Linked DNA regions of Struthio camelus. The protein of the gene in region 1 interacts with the protein of each later gene in a biochemical or structural test. Links are inferred from orthologs where the notes say so. Each region holds a gene or a part of one and is shown on either strand. Other genes may lie near its edges.

Region 1 (10,114 bases):
TATTGTATTGGACACAACACAAAAATACTGAGATTTTGGCCCTGCTTGGATGTCTGGGTAAGTGGACAGCAAAGAGAGAATATTAGCTCCTTTTCTGCACGGGTACTTCTGGAGAATACTGAGACTCCTTCCAGCCACCATCACACACACACACACATGCGCGCGCGCGCGCGCACACACACACGTACACACACAAACACCCACACACAGCTTGTATAGTTTTTACGGAAGAAAAGCTGGGAAAATCCTTTCTTCGTAGAATTGCTAGAGCAGACCTGGAGCTACTCTGCCCTCTCGTGGTGTGCGGACACTTCTGCAGTAATGCATCTCACTGTGGATCCTTATAACATATCATTATATCATCTTTACAATGTTTGTAGAAGATCCTGTCCTCATTAGCATATGGACTCGTTGACCATTCTGAAAGTACCTGACAGATCACATCCCATAAACACCTAAATCATTCCCCAGAGACACATGCCATTTTGAAGATGAGCATAAGATGTCATCAGATGCTTTTTCAAATGCTTCTTATATTACACTCGTGAGACATTTCTTACAGTATTCCTGAAGACACTCCCCCATTCTGGAACCATTTTAAGTCCCCTTGTATCCAAAAGACATTTTAAAGTGTATCAAAGACTTCATCTAAGGGGCAGAGGCAAGAATAGTTTGAAAAATCATTCAAAATCTATGAACCATTCTGGGACTCACCAGAAAGCTGGAACAAAGCCTTTGAACTATGTACCCAGCACACCAGAAATCACAGACAAAGGCAATTTTGAAAATACATGGATTTAAGGCCCCACCATAAGCAATTTATCAAATTCCTCTGTGGCCTCATCAAAGGGGCATTTAGAAAATGCCTATAGGGCACTACTGATGAAACAATTGTGAAAAATCCTCAAGGCAGTGGTGAAGCTGTGCTAGAGATCAACAATACTGGTTTACTGTGAACATCTTCATAATTCTAAAATTGCCCCAGATACTACCACAGAAGCCATTTTGGAAGTGTTCTATAATGCCGAAGCATAGCCATAAACACCCCATTAAAAGGACCATAAAAAGCAACCAAAAAATCCCACATGTAAAGAAACCAACATTAAAAATATTTTGTGTGATTTTTGGAGCATTCTCATGAGGGACTTTGAAGGGATTTATTCAACAATCCCTCCATTTTTTACAGTCCTATTCACAATGGTTCCTTTGTGGGGGTTAGTGTTTATTCTTGATAGCTCCTTGGCAGTATTTTTGGCCTCCTTCAGTGGGTTTTCACAATGGCTCCATGACGAAGGTGGAGTAATTTTACAATAGGCATTTCTTTGAGACATAATGGTTATGTGATGGTGTCTTGGGGGAGGATTAGAGCCTTGATTTAAACTGTCCAAATGGTGCTGGATTTGGGAGCATTTTCACTGTTAAGCCTATATTCATTGGACCACAGCCACAGTCTTATGCCATGAAGAGCAAAGAGAAGACAGATGTAATCATAGGATTTCCACCACTGACTACAATTTCAGGGCAAGGGCTGGCACGCCCATATTGCAGACAGAGTAAGATAACAGCACCTTGCAGGGCATCAGAAATGAAATTGCATCTGCTATGAATCTTTCCATGCTTACATACTGCAACAATCCCAGACTGGTAACACATCATCTGTGATAGTCTTTCAGAAAGTGAGCTAGGCCAGTGCAGACTCCCCGCCAACTCTCAATTACCTACAGTAAAAAATGTCAGCAAAGGAAGGTGTGGGACAGGGACAGCCACAATGGGACAGGTGTAACCTCTCTTGGAGATACACCTGATCGTGACCCAGTTGACCAGCAGTGGCTCAGCTTCTGATACATTTTGTTGCTAGACTGAAATTCCAGAAAGTCTTGCATGGTTGCGCCTTCTAACAAGAGAAGTGTCCCCCACTTGTGCCTTGCCAGAATTTCTGATTCTCTGACAAGAGAAGGCAAAGGTCTGAGATGACAGGGCAGGGATCTCTGCCCAGCCAGAGGCAGTGCATGCTTCTGATTTCCTTCTCCAGGCTGCAGACAGTGGTCAGCATCTCTGATATCATGTGTCCCCTAGGCTGAGTCAGGTATCCTTGCCCTCTGCCCTCCCTGTTCACACTATTAGTGCTCACACAATAAACACCATTCCCAGACCTGAGCAGCTCCTTCTGGGGGTTGAAAAGTCCAGACCATGTAAATTGTTCCAGTCTTGACAAAGACCTTCCATCTGGCTAGAGGTGGGCCCATCTCCTGGACTCCACAGACTAAAACACCTATGGTCATTAAGGCATATGTCTGAGGCTCTTTCTTACCCATCCTAGGGCTGCCCTGGCCCTACACTTGTGAAATACCACCATTGGAAGTCTCCCTTCCAAAGGTTTCACATAGCCTTCATGAAAAGGCATGCTGCCCAAGAAGGACAGTTGCAGACCTGATACTGACCTTCTTGAGTTTTTTTTTTTTTTAATTTATACTTACGTTGCCCTCAGGTGTACCCAGCCTGCTCCATACCCATGCTGCACTGAGATCTTACCAGCTGGATGACTCTTAGCTCTTCCAGACATGAGATATGGTGACAGAACTGTTTCCCTGCAACAGAGAGGGGATGTGCCATGTCTTCTTTACAGACTTTTTTAGTGGCATGTAGAAATACAGAGAGCAAAAAGGGAAGATCAGAAAGTACTCTGGTATATTTTGGGAGAGCTACAGGTAAACATAGGCCACAGCAGTAATAGTCACATCCCTGCTGCCTCTTGAGGATGAAGTCCAGCCTGGTTCCCTTTCCCACCACTCCGCTCACAATGAGCATGAGTTTCTCCCCTGGGGATCTGGTTGACTTGCTCCGGAGTAAAGCCAGAATGTAAATCAACATGTAAGAAGTGGAGGATCAAAGAGTCTGGTTCTTCCGTGATTGCAGCCACGATAAACTTGCCCATCCCAAACTGGTAAACCACTGCTCAAGAAGAATCTGGCATGGCCTGCTTCTGCTCCAGGCTTGAAGGAGAGCTTGAGCGTCCAAAAGCTGGCCTGTTTTTCCAGGAATGTCAGTTGCTGTGATATAAGAAATTGCCTCTTCCTTCAAAGCTTTCAACTGAAGAACATTCATCAGGCAACTGGACTGAAAAAAAGAAGGAAGATGATATTAACCCAGGGCTTGTAAGAGAGCTGAAATTCAATAACTGACTTTTTCTGCTAGAAACTGTAGCACAAGAATTGAAAACAGACTCGCATGTCATCAAATGAGCAGCTCAGTGCAATGCCTAGCAGAAATCACTAGGCACTTTGAGTGCTCTGGCCTTTGCTGGTTAGAGGATGTACCCAGTCTGGTGATGGCTTTTGTCAGATGTGACCCAAGTGACTCAGTCAACCCGGGTCTAACCTTTCTTATAAGCCTTTCCCAAACCATTTTTCCTCCCACAGCAATAAAACGATTCTGTGTGCTGAGTAAGCATGAAAAATGTGTCTAGCATGGGGACCAAAGATATGAGAGTCCAGAAAAAAATGGAAGCTCTTAAGAAATAAAAAATGCAGCATTTGGGGGTTTATTTAATTTTTCAAAGGCCTGGTATGCAAAAGCGGAGAGGATGTGGGGAATAAAAAGAATCTTTATTGTAAAATATTTTTCTCTTAGAGTGAACAATGAAAGATGCCAGATTAATGTTTAAATTACGTTGATTCTGTTGCATTTTAAGTCCTCAAAATATTCTTTTTAACTAAGAAGTATTTCAAACAAAATCACTTTGTTCACAAGTCAAAAATAGTTTGTGATATTTTTGCCTGCATTAGGCAAAATCTCTTGTTGATCTATCCTGGGCACACCTATTTTGTATTTATATCCTTTCTTTTCTGACACTACAGACTAGTGCCTGTGATTCACATTGACACTGTGAGCTCCTGAGGTGTTTGAGGGCAGACATGTCTGGTATGCCCCTATCCTATCTGTCACTGACGTACACTCAACTCTTCCAAACTCCATGTATCTGTATCCTGAAATCCTTGTGCCTCCCTATAAACATGATGGACTTAATGCTTGTCTCAATCATATCAGTCATTTCCGCAAAACACACTGATCACTAGCAACTGTGGAAGTAATTTGTTTTCAGATTACTCTGATGGTGAAGGACAGCTCTGAAAACTGTGAGGTACAGAATAGTAAGGAAGGAACAGGAGACATTTTCAACCATGATTCTCAAGCAGCAGTGAGTGTAAAGGCTCAGGCTCAGGAATTTGGGCTCTGAATTGTTGATCTCTAGAGAAAGGGCCTAACTTGCCTTTTTAAGGAGAAAGATAGAGTATGTTTGAGAGGAGAAAAGCTAGAGTACAGCTTGGAGATGTGGGCTTCATGGGGATCTCTTCCCAGTGTACCTAGCCTGTGTGACCTGAAGACACAGTCTCTCTACATTAATTTTGGGGCAAACTAGATTCAATTTACAGCATGAGTGGTGGAGTAGCAGCCCCTTTCCCAGAACAGCTTGCAAAGGAGATACTGAGCTAGGACCTATTGCAGCTCTTGTGAGCACATACAGGTGCAGCCCCTAGTCAATCCAGTGCATCGACTGGGTAATTGCCTCCCTGATGTTCTAGCACAGGGGTGGAAGAACGTATGACTTACCTGAACAGGCCTGCAGCACATGAAATTCACTACCATCTGTCCCAAAAAGCTATGGCACATAGACCACCTATGTTATTTCAATGTCAGGCCCCACTCCTGACATTCTGCCACAACCGGAGTGCCTCTTTGAACATGCCACAACGTAGGCAAGATGCCTGCTCCTTTCACTTACTGGGCTGGCACTGTCCCAGGAGCAAAAAGCCTCCAGCTTGAGCTAGCCAGAGCGCCTGAGGGAGTAACCCAAAACGAAGCCTACAGATTAAGTTCTTCCAAATTTCTCTCCTGTGCCATACCAGTTGGGACCCTTTCGTGCAATCCCAGAGGACACTCCAAGGACAGGACAGCATGAACAGTCAGGGAATTTGGCTCTGCAGACATTAACATAGACTCAGCCCATAATTTAGACTGGAAAGGACCTCTGGAGGTTTACCGTCCAACCCCACTCAAAGCAGGGCCAGCTTCAGTGTTACATTAGGTTGCTTAGGGCCTTGTCCAGATATGAACATCTCCAAGAACATGGTGCATTCTTACAGTATGTTTGAGGTGGCATGACTATTGTTTGATGCAACCACATTAGAACGGAGGAGGATGTCATGTTCCTTTTCCGAGCTACCTCTCTACAAATATTAGTTTTTTCTGAATCTCCATTACTGTGGTAGGTTTATTTATACACTGTTTCTGAGCCCTGTGGATGTACCTTACTTTTGTTTACACAATAACAAAGTTGATGCTTTTTTCCACCATTTTAATTCATCCTTCCCGTTTTTAAATATTTTGCTTATTTAAAAGACAAAAAATGTCTGAAGACCCAGAGTTAGCTGGAAAGGACCTGCCTGAGACGCTGCGCTGCTTGTGCAGGATGACTTTGAAAAACAGCACGCACTCAAAAATCTCATGATTTCAAATCAGTCTCTCAGTTTCCTGGGGCCTCACTTCTGCTTTGGCCGTACCGGCATGGCCAGTTCCAGGTTACTCATCTCCAAGGAGCCACAACACAGGGGACGCTCAGCGTGTCCTGCTTGCGGTGGGGCGCTTTGCCACAGCTCTGCCGGCGGCTCCACGCCCCTCCGCAGCGAGAGAGGGAGAGGTCAAGTAAATTTTACAAATTGACTCGGAACTTCCTAAAACCTGAGCAAAACACAGCCTCGCTGCGGCGCTGGCCGTGCAGCCTGCCCCGCTCGCAGCCCCCAGGTGCGCCCGAGGCGCTGGGCCGTTATGGCCGTTATGGCCCAGGCCACCAGGCCCGGCTAAGAGGAGGGCGCCGACCCAGCGGGGGGGAGGGGGAGGGGGAGGGGGAGGGTCCCGCCCGTCCGCCCTGCGGAGCCCGGGGACGGCGGGGGGGGGGGGGGGGGGGGCCGGGCCAAGCCCGCTCCCTAGGCAACGGGAGGGAGGCCTGTTGCCCGGCAACCGGGAGGCACCCGAGGGGCGGGGTGGCGCGGTGGCCATGACGCCATCAGGGCGCGCCGGGCGGGGAGAGGGAGGGGGGGAGGCGCGGTGCGTGGAGCCGGGACCTCTCCCCGCGGCGGTGAGTGCGGGGCGCGGCGGGCCCCGGGGGGCGGCGGCGGCGGCTGGTGGCGCCCCGGCGCGGCGGGCCCGGCGCGGCGGGCGCCTCTCGGGGCGGGGGCGGCGGGGAAGGGGAAGAGGAAAGGGAAGGAGCGGCGGCGGCGCGGGCCGGAGGGCGCCCCCTGGCGGCGCGGCGGGCGGGCGGGCCTGGCCGTGACATGTGGCCGTGCTGGCTGTGCCCGCAGGTGCCGGGCGCCATGGCCCCCCCCAAGGACATCATGACCAACTCGCACGCCAAGTCCATCCTCAACGCCATGAACGCCCTGCGGAAGAGCAACACGCTCTGCGATGTCACCCTGCGCGTGGAGCACAAGGATTTCCCGGCCCACCGCATCGTCCTGGCCGCCTGCAGCGACTACTTCTGCGCCATGTTCACCAGCGAGGTCGGTGCTCCTCGAACGCCTCCCTGCCGCGGGGCCAGGGCCTTCGGTTGCCCGGTGCTGGGCTGTCTGTGGCCCCTAGGCGCTCGGCGTTGTGGAGCAGAAAGGGTCACTCAGTGCTCGGGCTGCCTGCTGTCAGGCTGTTCAGCGGTCGGCGCTAGATCGCTCTAGCGTGGTGCTAGGACACCTGGTCCTGGCACTGGGTCGCCCAGTCATGGTGCTGGGTAGCTCCGTTGTGGCACTAGGACACCTGGTCACAGCAGTGGGTCACTCCCTCGTGGTGCTGGGTTGCCTGGTCATGGCATTAGGTAGTCTGGTTGTGGTGCCGGGTCGCTCTGTTGTGTTGCTGCATTGCCTGGTCATGGCATCAGTTAGCCTGGTTGAGGCACTGGGTCACCTGGTCATGGCACCAGATGGCTCCGTTGTGTCGCTGCGTTGCCTGGTTATGGCATTAGTTGGCCTCGTTGTGGCACTGGGTCACCTGGTCATGGTGCCAGATTGCTCTGTTGTATTGCTGCGCTGCCTGGTTATGGCCTTAGTTGGCCCGGTCGTGGCGCTGGGTTGTTCTGTTGTAGCACTAGGTTGCCTGGTCATGGCCTTAAGTGGCCCAGTTGGTGCTGGGTCTCTCCATCATGGTGCTGGGTCGCTCTGCTGTGGCGGCAAGTCACTTCGTTGTGACTCTGACTCACTCCACCACGGTGCTAGGTTGCCTGGTTTTGGTGCTGAGGTGCTAGTTTGCCTGATCATGGCATTAGTTGGCATAGTCATGGTGCCAGGTCGTGCAGTCATGGTGCCACGTCACTCTGTTGTGGCACTGGGTTGCCTCTTCGTGGAGTTAGATGGCCCAGCTGGTGTTGGGTCACACCATCATGGTGCTGGGTCATTCCAATGTGGCGGCAGGCCACTTCATCACGGTGCTGGGTTACTCAGTTTTGGCACCAGCTTGCTCCATCGTGGCATTAGATAGCCCAGTCGTGGTACTGGCTTGTCCCGTCATGGTGCTAGGTCACTCTGCCATGGTGCTAGATTGCTCGGTTGTGGCATGGTGAGAGTTAAAGGCTGCATTTGAGACTCTAGTCCTGAATCGCTGTCTACTGTACAACCAGCCTGTGCACCAGAGAGATGCCAGTCTGAGCTGACAAACCAGCAGTCTCTGATGCCTCTACTTGGTTTTTCTAGCGGCAGTTTAAGGCCTGCCTGTTTCCAGCCATCTGTCTTGCCAAAGTTGCCAGCCCTAGCACAAAGCTGTACTAGCAGTGCTGCGCACCTTAGTCCGGGTGGTGAGTTAAGGCAGCCACTTTAAAACTGAAATGGATGCTACTTAACTTACGTAAGGGTCTGTGTTTCACACTGGCTGAGCGCCTGGCACGTGGGTGGTTGTGCTGTTGCCTTTGTGAAGAGGATGTAACCTCTAGCGCAAGAGGTTGGAGGTAACACCGTAAGCCACAACTGCTGTACTCTACAAATGTCACTTGTGAGAATCTTTGCTCTCACAGTACGTGTTATATTGACTCACATTAAGGACACGCTGTTTCTCTGAAGCACTGAAAGGTAATACTTGAGCTAAAGCTAGCACTCAATTGTGTTGTTAAGTAGGAGATTCTGCGCCTGGCCTTGTCTTTTATAAGTTTGAATCAGTCTTTGTGGCTTCTCCTTACATAAGATTGCTTTCCTTGTCATAGCAACTTCCCTCTTGGCAGGAAGAAAAATGACTAAGTAGCCCCAGAGGTCCTAAAGACCTGCCTGCTAACCCAGTAGTCCTTTCAGGAGAGAATCATTTTCTTCTTTGTCTTAGCCTGTAATGACCACTGTCTGTAGAGCTGTGACTTGCGAGGTGTGTGCCTATTTTTGTTTCTTTCAGTGCTGGGAAGGGTGAACAGGTGTCTTAATTTCTATAGGTGTGTGCAAAGCAAGCAGAGACAGACATATGCGGACCAGCCACATACCAACATATTTTTTTATCCATGTCTTCATGAATTTTGTAAATTTAACAGGTTTGTGCACTTTCTCTGCACAAGGAGATATAATTTTAAAAAAAAATAAAATACACAAAGCAAATTCAGCCCCTGGAGGCTGAAGTTCTCTATTCACTAGTGGCTTCAACATACACAGCAGTAGGGCAGACTCTCCCTGCTTCTTTGTTTGCCCCTATGTTCTTGTCAGTGCCTTTGACTTCCTGGACTTTATCTACACAGTCTACAGAGATCAGATCACTCTACACCGTATAGAATAGTCCTTGTGGCCGATAACAAAAGCTGAGGAAAACAGCAATTGGTGTACTTTGGATCTAAGCTGAGATCGTCTCTCCTTGCTCCTTTACGCTCCCATTCTGATTCTGTCACTGTAGTGACTTTAATTCATGGTTAAATTTTTTTCTGGGAATATAAGTGTATCTAGCATGCAGTGGGCATGATCGTTCACTCTCTGTCTTCCAGACTGCTGCTGCTTGAAAGGTTTTACTTTTTGCTTAGTTGGTATTTCTTCCAATTTTCCTTTTTCATATGGAAATCCCAAAATAACAAACTTGCCAAGTGGCACACACAATTACTGTGTGTTTGTGGAAGAATGTTCTTTCCAAGAAATGACAGCTTGGTAAGCCTCAAAGTGGACCTACTTCCTATATGTGTTAATGACAAGTATGTTGGTGAGCGTAATGGGACAGCATTTGGTTGCTATCCAAATTCTTGCGGGTATAGAGTGTTTTGGCCTTGCCTATAACTTGAGGGAATCAAAATGCCTGATTGCGTAATGGGCTGTCGGTCTCTACAAGGTTTCCTTTGCAATTCGTCACTAATCTCCTGCAAATTTGGGGACTCCTTGGCTAGTTGCAACATGTGGCTTTTGTCAGACTCGGGCTACACAAGGCTTTGTTCTGATCCCTCGGTCATGCCCTGTGTCATTCAGGATGTTACGTCTTTGCGTGGTCAGTCAGTGTAGCACTAAGACTATCATCTGAGATTATCATCATAGAAAGCTACGTTTCTCAACCCATGCGTCTCTCATTTCCTTTCTCTGCCTCTGTGCTGAGGAGTGCGGGAGTACTGAAACAGCCCATCAGTTTTACCTACAGAGATTTTTCTTGTGGTGGAAACTGAAGAGCAGTTTCAGCAAGTGCTCCCTTGCGTCCTAGTTTTGCACTGGGATTTCTGCCTTTGTTTGGACGTGTTAACATAACTCAGGATATGTTAAGAGTTGATCATTGGCTCCACCTCAGAAAGAAGCTAGCCTATCTTCTCTTAGAGAGTATCTTGTAGAAATTGAAGAGGTTTTTTTTTCCTCCAAAAAAAGTTGAAATTTTGTTCTTATTCTGAAAATAAAAGGCTTGTGTTTCTATTCAGGTTCTTACATGGTTATCCTCACTGTACTATGAATGTCTTCCAGAATGCATGGAGCCACACGATTAGCACTGTCATGCCAGCATTTCTTTTTTCCCTACCTGTAAGACGAAATTGGAGGAGTTTATTACAGTACTCTTCTGTGTATCTGCATTAGTGAAAGGCAAGAATAAGTAGTAGATTGGGATAAGTGGTAAGATATATGGTTCCAGAATCTTAGACTGA
Region 2 (9,776 bases), on another chromosome or scaffold:
TGAAAGGACATCCCTTCTGGGTGACTGACAACAGGCTTTGCGAAGAGGAGCCTAGCCGGAGATGAGTTTGCAGGCATTTGCTGCTCGCAGCCGCTCAGAGCTTCCAGCGTGCCCCTCTGCATGCATTGCGTCTCCTCCTCCCCAGGAGTTTTTCTTAACAAGTGGATCCAACAAGCTCATTGATGTTTTAAAACCAAGAGGGACCCTTAAAGTGTTTCTGTGTGCTCTTGCCTGTGGCGCAAGCCCACCCGATCACCCCTGTGTGAGATCAATTATGTGGGTAAGTCTAAAGCCAGGCATCCCCAAAACCATCCAGTTTTGATTATAAACTACCAGAGACAGTAAATCCACCCTTGCTTCTCTGTAGTTTCATTCCCATAGCTAATCATCATTACTTATGCATGAGTTTCACTTCTTTCTTGGATTTATCTTAACTTACCAGGATTTTAAATGTGAAAAGATCTATTCAGGCAGCGTCTTGCAGGGGGGACTCAGAGAGCCTGGAAAGCCAAGAGAGAGTCCTGCCACCCTCTTCCCTCCCTTGCAAAGGTTAACCTGAAAGGCAGGACGCTGCCTCTATGCCTTTTCTTGGAAATGTATTACAGGCAGATTGTAAAGCAGGATGGCTTCGGATGATACGTTCACAGAGAATTGCTCAGCTAAGTGTGTCAAATAAAAGGAGCAGGATTGGCTTTAAAAGCTCTTTATGTACCTCCCTTTGTTCTGAACCTGAAGATAGTGATCTTTCACCCAGCTATCAGGACACTATTCAACAGTTGAGTTTAGGCACATCTGTGCTGAAGCATTGGCAGGTAATTTTGTTCTCCTCTCCTATTTAAAAATTCAGTGCTTCAAGCACAGAAAAACTGTAATGATAAAAGTTCTGTGTCTTTTGGGAGACACTGACAGATGTCTCACTTTGCGACCTTCCAGTCCTCTGAATTGGCTCACCACCAAACACTCTGTTAACTCATCCCAGCTGAGTCTTGGGGGACACCTTGCGGCTCCTAAGCTGGTGGCTGGGATCCCGCGGATGGATGAGGCCAGGGCCCACCCCAGGCAGGCTAGCAAACCAGCTGGGGGGATACTGGTTGTGAACGATTGCCAGGGAAACTCAGGTTACTCTGTTTGGTCAGTTTGCATCAGAAATGGGTGCTTTGCCCATGCTGCCGTGAGCTGGGGCTGAGGCAGCACGAATTTGTGGGTGGCTGGCAAAAGGAAAGGCCTGTCCTGGGGTGCTGCTCCCCCTACAGTAAGTTATTGGCTAAGCTACTGGTTCCCACTGGTGAAACGGGGAGATATCAAGCTGAAGAGCTAGCTACAGGCAGGGCTGGGCTGGAGAAGTGGGACGCCCACAGCCCACTTGAGCAGAGGTCCTGGGTACCAGAGCCTCATTTTCCCATATTTGACCAGACTGTATCCCTGATGCAAGAGATGTCTCATTGATGCAGTGGCTGGGCAACCAGTTTGCCAGATTTCAAGGAGGGAAACTGAGGCATAGTCTTCTATGAGGCTGGGGTGTCCCTGCTGGCAGAAGGTGCTGCTGTTCACCCTTCTGTATGCTTCGCAGCACCAGCCGAGGACAGAATAAAACATTTTTTTCTGCTGAGAGAAGCAGCTGTGGGTACCTTTCAGCGCCTCTCCATCTCACTGCCCTAAGCCACCAGCCTGTGACACTGCGACAGGTGAAGCAGGATCCTTTGCAGCCTGCGCATCCGAGCAAAAAAGGGTTGTTCAAGGCCAAAGACCACATCAGACGCTCTCCACAGGAGCTCCTAAACACTCGCTGACCATCGTTCAAACACTCCAGCCCTGGCACGTAATGCTCCCTCCTTTCTGCGGAGGTGACAAATGGCTCTGTCCCTTATCACCCTCCCTTTTTTTTTCACAGCCACATGGGGTGACTTCTGTGGATATGGCGAGGCATTACCTTCCTTCTCTTATCCTAGGAGGATAGACCCTCTTATCCTAGGAGGGAGCAATGTGGTCTGAGGCTCTGACCTGCTAATGGAAAAGAGGGTGCTTCGTTGCTCCCCTGGAGATGCTGTCAAACAGAAAAGTGACTGAAGTCAGTCAGCACATGTCAGCTTTCCCAGAGCCGGCCTGGCAGGATGTGGTTTATGGCAGTATCCACCAAGGAACGAGGGTGCAGTATGGGCAGAGCGGTGGCAAGCAGGCACAGAGGAACCAGAAAGAGCAGAGATTACAGTGAGTTTGTGGTAGAAGAGCTGTCCTAATTAGTGCATCGCATGGCTGCTCTTTTCTGGAAGTCAAAAGCCTTATTTCACATTAGTTTAATCTATTCCAGGATTAAACTGGTTTAGGATTAAAGCATAGTTAGTCTGGAATGAGAGCTTCCACAATGAGAGTTAAGAGCCATTCGGCACTAACCGATGGGGAAAATCAAGATAATTAATTAATACAAATTAACTATTAAAGTGGATTAGATGAATGGCATTAATCCCTGTGAGAAGGTAGAAGGCCTGTGGTCACAACTCAGTCCTGATCCCTTTGCTGCTTGGATTAATTAAACATAAATAAATTATGTATGCTCTGTCCATATAGGCTTCCAGTGCAGTTTAATTAATTCACCTCAAGTCCCTCCTTTAGCTAATTTGAGTTGATTTCTTTGAGTAAAAGGGTTATAGTAAAAAGTGGTTCCACTGGAGCAGCTCTCCATTAACCAAAAGCTGTTGCAGCAGCGGGTGCGTGGGCAGTCAGGTTTTTGGGGACTGACCACTACACCAGAAAAGCTGTGATCAGGTGAAACAAACCACCAAGCTGATGCTAATTCACTCTGTTGAGATGTATGAGTTAAAAAAAAAATACAGATGGGGGGTCCATATCAGAATCACAGAATGGTTGAGGTTGGAAGTGACCTCTGGAATCACTGAGTCCAACCCTGCTGCTCCTGCAAGGTCACCTAAAGCATGTTGCCCAGGTCCCTATCCAGACGACTTTTGAATATCTCCAAGGATGGAGACTCCACAGCCTCTCTGGGCAACCTGCTCCAGTGCTCAGTCACAGTAAAAAAAGTTTTAAAAGTTTTTCAGTAAAAATGTTTTTCACTGTAAAAAAGTTTTTCCTCATCTCCAGACAGAACTTCCTCCCTTTCAGTTTGTGCCCATTGCCTCTCACCCTATCAGTGGGTGCCTCTGACAAGAGTCTGGCCCCATCCTCTTCACACCTTCCCTTCCGATATTCATACCCACCTATAAGATCCCCCCTCACTCTTCTCTTCTCCACACTGAACAGCCCCACCTCTCTCAGCCTTTCCTTGCATGACAGATGCTCCCGTCCCTTCAGCTTCTTGGTAGACCTTCACTGGATTCACTCCAGTAGCTCCATGTCTCTCTTGTATTGGGCAGCCCAGAACTGCACACAGCAGCCCACACGGGGCCTCCCCAGGGATGAGTTGAGGGGAAACCTCCCTTGACCTGCTGCCAATGCTTTGCCTAATGCAGCCCCGCACACTGTTGGCCTTCTTGGCCATCGGGCCACAGTGCTGGCTCACGGTCAGCTTGTTCTCCAACCAGGCCTCCCAGCTCCTTCTCTGCACACCTGCTCTCCAGCTGCTTTCTATGCACCAGTACAGGCTGGTGCATGGGTTTATTCCTCCCCAGGTGCAGGACTCTGCACATCCTGTTATTGAATTTCATGAGGTTCCTCTCTGCCCATCTCTCCAGCCTGTCAAGGTCCCCCTGGATGGCAGCACAGCCATTCATGCTTTACTCTTGCTCCCACTTACTGTTTAACTGAGACATGGTGCTCCATCTCCTTTCATGCGAAGACAGATGTCTTGTTTTGTTACCACTCACGGAGCAAGTGATATATTGTGACACAAGGCTGCTTGGGGTGGGAAGCACTGAATACTGAACACTAATTCCTTGCTCTTGTACTTGGACCATGGTAGCTAATCAAAGAGAAATTTCACCTTGTCAGAGCACCATGCAGAATTGTCCTTCTTCTCTATCTCCTGCTCAAAAAGCATCATTGGGCCTCTGAGAACAGGTGTTTGCCACTGGCGATGGAGGAAGTGACCAAATCCCTTGGGCAGAAGAGCAATGCATTAATTCCTGACTTTTTCAGCAAAGCACTGGACTGATGCTACACGCCTTGGCTATGGGAAGGGCTTGGTGACAAGATGAGCTTGGTCACAAGAAGAGGGTGATGACAGGGAGAGCTTGGTGGCGTTGGAGAGTGTGGCAACAAGACAAGCTTGGTGACAAGGAGAGTTTGGTGATGGAGAGCTTGGTGAGAGTGAGAGCTTGGTGACAGGGAGAGCTTGGTGACAAGACGAGCATTTGATGACATTGGAGAGCTTGGTGACAGGGAGCGTTTGATGACAGGGAGAGAGCTTGGGGACAAGGAGCGTTTGGTGACAAGATGAGCATTTGGTGACATTGGAGAGCTTGGTGACAGGGAGCGTTTGATGCCAGGGAGAGAGCTTGGGCACAAGGAGAGTTTGGTGACAAGATGAGCATTTGGTGACTTTGGAGAGCTTGGTGACAGGGAGCGTTTGATGCCAGGGAGAGCTTGGAGACAAGGAGAGTTTGGCGATGGAGATCTTGGTGAGAGTGAGAACGTGGTGACAAGATGAGCATTTGGTGACGCTGGAGAGCTTGGTGACAGGGAGCATTTGATGACAGGGAGAGAGCTTGGGCACAAGGAGAGTTTGGTGACGCTGGAGAGCTTGGAGACAGGGAGGGCTTGATGACAAGACGAGCTTGGTGACATGGAGAGCTTGGAGACAAGGAGCGTTTGGTGACCCTGGAGAGCTTGCCAACAAGGGGCTTGGGGCAGCAGCCTCCGTCCACCGCGGCAAGCTGAGCTGCTCGCCGCGGCCGAGCTCCAGCATCGCCCCGCCGCGACCCGGAGGCGCCGAGCGGGGGGCACCGGGCCGCTCTGCCCGACGTCGCCGGGGGCGGGCGAGGGTCCCCCCGCCGCAGCCGCCGCCCCCTAAGCCGCTCGCCGGTGGGCGGTGGTGACCCACTTGGTGCCGCGGGGGCCGGGCAGCCCGAGGCCGGCGGGGCGGGCAGCGGAGGCTCCTCCCCACCGGCCAACTTCGGGGCCGGGCCGGGCCGGGCCGTGCGGGCGTGGGAGCCTCGCCTCGCCTGGCCGCGGGGCCGGGCATGGCCGGCGGCGGCGCCGAGCCCCGCGGCGGCGGGAGCTGAGCGGGGTGCGGCGGGGACCGGCGGCGGAGGGGGGGGAGGTTTTTTGGGGGGGTGGGTCCCATGCACCGGGTGCCATGGGGAACGGCAGCGCGCCGCCACCGCCGCCACCACCGCCGGCGGCGGCGGGCCACAACGTCGCCGCCCTGGTGCTGGGCATCGTCCTCATCCTGCTCATCGTGGGCGGCAACGCGCTGGTGTGCCTCAGCGTCTGCACGGAGCGGGCGCTGAAGACCACCACCAACTACTTCATCGTCAGCCTCGCCGTGGCCGACCTGCTGCTCGCCGTCCTCGTCCTGCCCCTCTACGTCTACTCCGAGGTGAGGCCACCGCCGGCGGGCCCGGGGCTTGTGTGTGTGCGTGTGTGTGTGTGATGGGACGGGGGACAGCGGGGTGCCCCCGTCGCACTCAGGCTTTTTAAGAGGGTCCTGCCTCGGCGGCTTTCGTGCCCGGAGCTCCTGAAAGTTACAGGGCTCTGTGTGTGTGTGTTGGGGGGAGGGGGGATCCACGAGAGACCAAATATACCGAGGGTTTAAAAAGCTTCCCCTGGTTTATTTCCCCCACCTGCGGCTTGGAAATCCCAGCGGCGCCGCTGCCCACCTCCCTTGCTGCAGCCCCTGCCCCTGCCCTCCTGCTTCTTCCTCCTCCTCCCCTGCAGGAATGTTGCTTTCAAACCACTGCGGCTCCCCCCCCCCCCTTTTTTTTTTCCTCATGCCATCGCTGCTCATCTGCGGTGGAAAAAACTCTGAAGGACAATTAGCGGTGGGGGCAAAAAGCGGGTTGGCAGAAGTTCTTGTTCCCGCGATCGCAGCGCTGTGTGGTCCCCGTGTCCGTGGGTAAGGGGGCTTCCTCCTGTCCTTCTCCGAGGCGAGCCGTGATGCCGACACACGACCGCCGAGGTGGAGAAGCAGAAAGAGGAATCTTCTGGGTCGGGTGAGCAGCTCCAGGGAGTCCTTGGACAGGTCCCAGGCTGGAGAACTGGTTGCCAGTCAGCAAATGGTTAGGAAGGGGTGAGAGAGCTCCCGTGCTCTGCTCTGTCTGGTATGAGGTGCTCGGCTTTTGGGGATAAGGGAGCTCTTTAGCTAGGAAGCAGGTTGCCATGCCAGGTTGAGGAGGAGAAATTGCTTTTTTAGGGAGCTAGTCGGTGTTCTCCTTTGAAGGAGAACACCTTGTCTCCTTCCTTTGGTCTGCTTGCTGCAGGGCTCCTGCTGGCTGGATGTGCTCTCCTTTGTCCAGTCCTGACCCCATGTACGCAGGTGGCTGTGCAGAGGCACTGTGGACTTTGGGACAGGCCTTCTCTCCACCCCAGAAACTGCTATAGCTGAGGCAGAGATGTGCAGTTCAAGTTCTCCTGAGGTTGAGTGGTTTTGCATGTCTCTCTGCCTCTCTTTTCTCCGCTGTGAAAGGGAGATACATTTTTACTGCCGGAGGAGGAGGATTGATAACGCCTTGAGATTGCAGAGGGATTTGTTGGATCGGGGTGGGGAGGATCGCTAGTGGCTGCCTGTTAGTACTAGCCTGTGGCTCTTTCCTTGCTCTCACTGCAGCCCTACCTCTCCCCAGAGGTGAGCGGATGAAAGTCCCTATGGGCCAAAATAGCATTTTTTTGCCCCTCTCTTCTGGGGTAGCTGGTAGTGTGGAAGAAAAAGGAGTCCTCTTTTTTCTTTCCAGATTGGGGGGGGGGGGGGGGGGGAGAGCCAGGATTTTCTCTGGTGCAGAGTCTGAGCTGTAGCCTGGGGGCTCAGAGAGGCAGTTCAGCCAGACTTTCCGACCTTGTATTTGGCCACAGCCACATTGTTTGTAAGCTGGTTGCTTAAGTACTTTCTCAGGGAATGAAAGGGGCTGTCCCCATTCCCCAGCAGAGTGGTTTCCCACTGTTGACACTGGGGCCAGGCTAAAACAACAGCATACCAGAAGTGTTCAAGCCATAGCATTTCCCCTTCTCTCCCATGCCAGGGCTGCCATTCAGCACCTGATCAGGTCGGGCCTAAATTTTCTTAAGCAAGGTAGTCTGCGGATTAGAGCTTAGGATGCTTTTAGCCTCTCTACATGGTCCTAGGATTTCTTAGGACATTGTGACCTCTCTGAAGACAAAGGTTTTCTAGAGGGACAGGCTCTGCTGGGGAGCCATAAGAAGAACCAGTGAAGAACAGGAGCGACAGATTCCCCTCTCTCTTCCCCCCACTGACAGCCCCCCCCCTCCATGTTACTTCTTTTGGGTGGTCCCTTGTCTCAGTTCTGGGGTTAGAAAGCCAGAACCCCTCTTTCTCCACCATTCTTCTCAGCTACTTCTTGCTAATTGCAATTCCCTTTTTCTTCCCCTTGCTCCTTCTGTTGTCTCTCCATGCCTCCTGTCTCTGACTCCGTGGGCAGGTACTCATAGCAGTGTGGTTTCCTCTGGCCTGCAGGCCCAGATCTTGCTGGCATATGTAAAACGCTGGTTAGTGTCCTTGGGGGGGATACCTCTGAAAATGCTTCCAGTTGGGCACGAGCATTTTGGAGGTTTCCTTGGGTATCACAGAACATCCCACAAATGCTGGATTCTCAGATACCGGGTGTTCGACCCCACCTAAGCTTTAAAAACCTGGGCTGCCCAGCCTGTGCTTGAGCTGTGAATGATCCTTGAAGTGTGTTCATTTCCGTAGCTGTTCAGAAACATCAGTTATGGGGCTTAATTCTTCAGTGTCTCTGCACCCAGGATATTAAACAACAGGGAACGGAGGAGGCATATGGCAGAACTGTCCTTCCCTCTGAGTCTTGCGGCTCCTGCAACAAGGCAGTTATAATAAGAGACCTTGTGAAAGGCAGCACGCACCAGGATCTGCACTCGTCTGGTAGCCACTTCAGATCACCTCACAGACTGACTGCGGAAGGTACTATATGGGCAGGGAGCGAAGGGCAGCAATGTATAGCAAGCATAAGCTCCTCGAGCAGGCAATGGGGTTTGGAAATACAGGGCAGCGTAGGCCGTTTGTCAGTGTTGAAACACTAGTTTCCTGCTTTGCAATTTCTCTGTGGGCTCAGGGCTTATTCTTAATAATCTCCTATATATTGGTGGGGGATTTGCAGCTCGCTTCGTTGTGAAATATACTAAGAAAAGGTCAGAGTGGCCATTGAGTCAGTGCCAGTGGACAGAATTTTTCTGGTTTTCTCTAAGAGGAAGGAAAAAAGTGAAAGCTGGAGATCAGAATCAGATGCTCAATCTGCATGCATAAATGCAAATGCATCCCTTGTCCTGAAGGCTGGGACAGAGGCAGATCATCTAGTTGTTAACGAGGAAAGGAAAAGTGACCTTGGCAGGCAGGACAAGGGTCATAAGGTATAGGGACCACTGCTATTTAAAAGTAGCTTGGTTTCAACGTGCACTCTGCACATCTAGCCACTCCAAATGTGGCCTGGACAGTCAAGAGGCAGCTCCTGACTGTTTAACATTTGGGTTTTTTCCTCTCTTCTCTCTCTCTTTCTTTCTTTTTAATGCCACTCCTGACAGAGTAAAAGTGGACTTTTACCCAGAACCATAAAGTATGACTACTTCTTTCATTCAGCAGGAAAAGCTTGGTCACTTTGTGCTTTTCCCCTGTAAGATGACTTCTTGCGTCAGATTTCTAGAATTGTCCCTCCCAATCAGGGCTTTAGAAGACAGCTAGAGGGATTTAAATTTGAGATGTGACATCTGACATCCCTACAAAACGACAGATCTCCCACGGGCTTCCATGGGGCCAGGTTTCCCTCCTGTGAGATGTGGATTATCTCTTGCTGCTGTTCACAAAAGCCCAAGCACAGTGGGAGAGGCCTTGATCTTGGCTGCTATTTCTAGTTGTTAAGAAAGCTTATTCCAGTGCGTTAGCAACCGTTGTTGACACATGTTGTCCTGTCATACTTCTGAAAGAGCCAGCCTAACTTTTTCTCACAGTTAAACTCTTAGTTTTAGAAGTCTTGGCTGCAGGAAGCCAAATTGGGTGTTATTTCTTTGTGGATGTCCCTTGTTTGTACCTGCAGGGTTGGAGGAGTGCTGAAAGCAGGTGCGAGACAAGGGTGAAATTGGTACATGCAGTCACAACCATTTCCTTTCGGCACTGTTTCACCATCACTGCAGTGTTGCCTGGAATAAGGGAAGGGAAGTGGGGCCATGAAATGCAAACTTCCTCCAGTTCTGTCCCCACCTGTGCATCTTATGGGAGAAGTATCACAATGGCACGATGGCTTTCTGATGGTGAGGAAGAGATGGGTCTATTACTCCTGGCCAAGTCTGGTCCTGTTGTGCTAGGCTCCCTCAACCAATAACAAAATGACCAATCCTTGCCGACAAGAACTTGCTTTGGAAACAGGGCAGCAGTGGTAGGAAATCAGTATCTCCTACTGAACTGGTGCCATGTGGCTCTTTCCAGGCATGCAGGAAAGCCTTCACACTGGGTGTTGAGTACAGATCCCTTTAGACCTCTTCTCTCCACAGATCAGCCTTCTCTGTGTGAGAGGAACATTTGCCCCTGAGTCCTGCCCTGTTGTAAATCTCTCCCTTGTGTTCGCTGTGCATTGGTGGGAGTTCTTCAGACTGTATTTCTCTCCTCATTAATTTGCCCTGTCAAATTTATCTTAGCAGCTCAG

The links. The genes of interacting proteins can lie anywhere in the genome.
Region 2: of the proteins of KLHL12 (region 1) and DRD4, one has a biochemical effect on the other in vitro, tested with the Homo sapiens proteins (2 studies listed by BioGRID, with this or other methods). The link is inferred for Struthio camelus from reciprocal best matches to the Homo sapiens genes KLHL12 and DRD4.

What each region holds. Positions count from the first base shown.
Region 1 is NC_090965.1:2,851,606-2,861,719, forward strand, and holds the start of KLHL12 (kelch-like protein 12), read left to right. Parts: upstream 1-6,044; 5' UTR 6,045-6,055; coding exon 6,056-6,136; intron 6,137-6,359; coding exon 6,360-6,557; intron 6,558-10,114. UniProt on the Homo sapiens protein: Substrate-specific adapter of a BCR (BTB-CUL3-RBX1) E3 ubiquitin ligase complex that acts as a negative regulator of Wnt signaling pathway and ER-Golgi transport.
Region 2 is NC_090946.1:5,167,150-5,176,925, forward strand, and holds the start of DRD4 (D(4) dopamine receptor), read left to right. Parts: upstream 1-5,248; coding exon 5,249-5,491; intron 5,492-9,776. UniProt on the Homo sapiens protein: Dopamine receptor responsible for neuronal signaling in the mesolimbic system of the brain, an area of the brain that regulates emotion and complex behavior.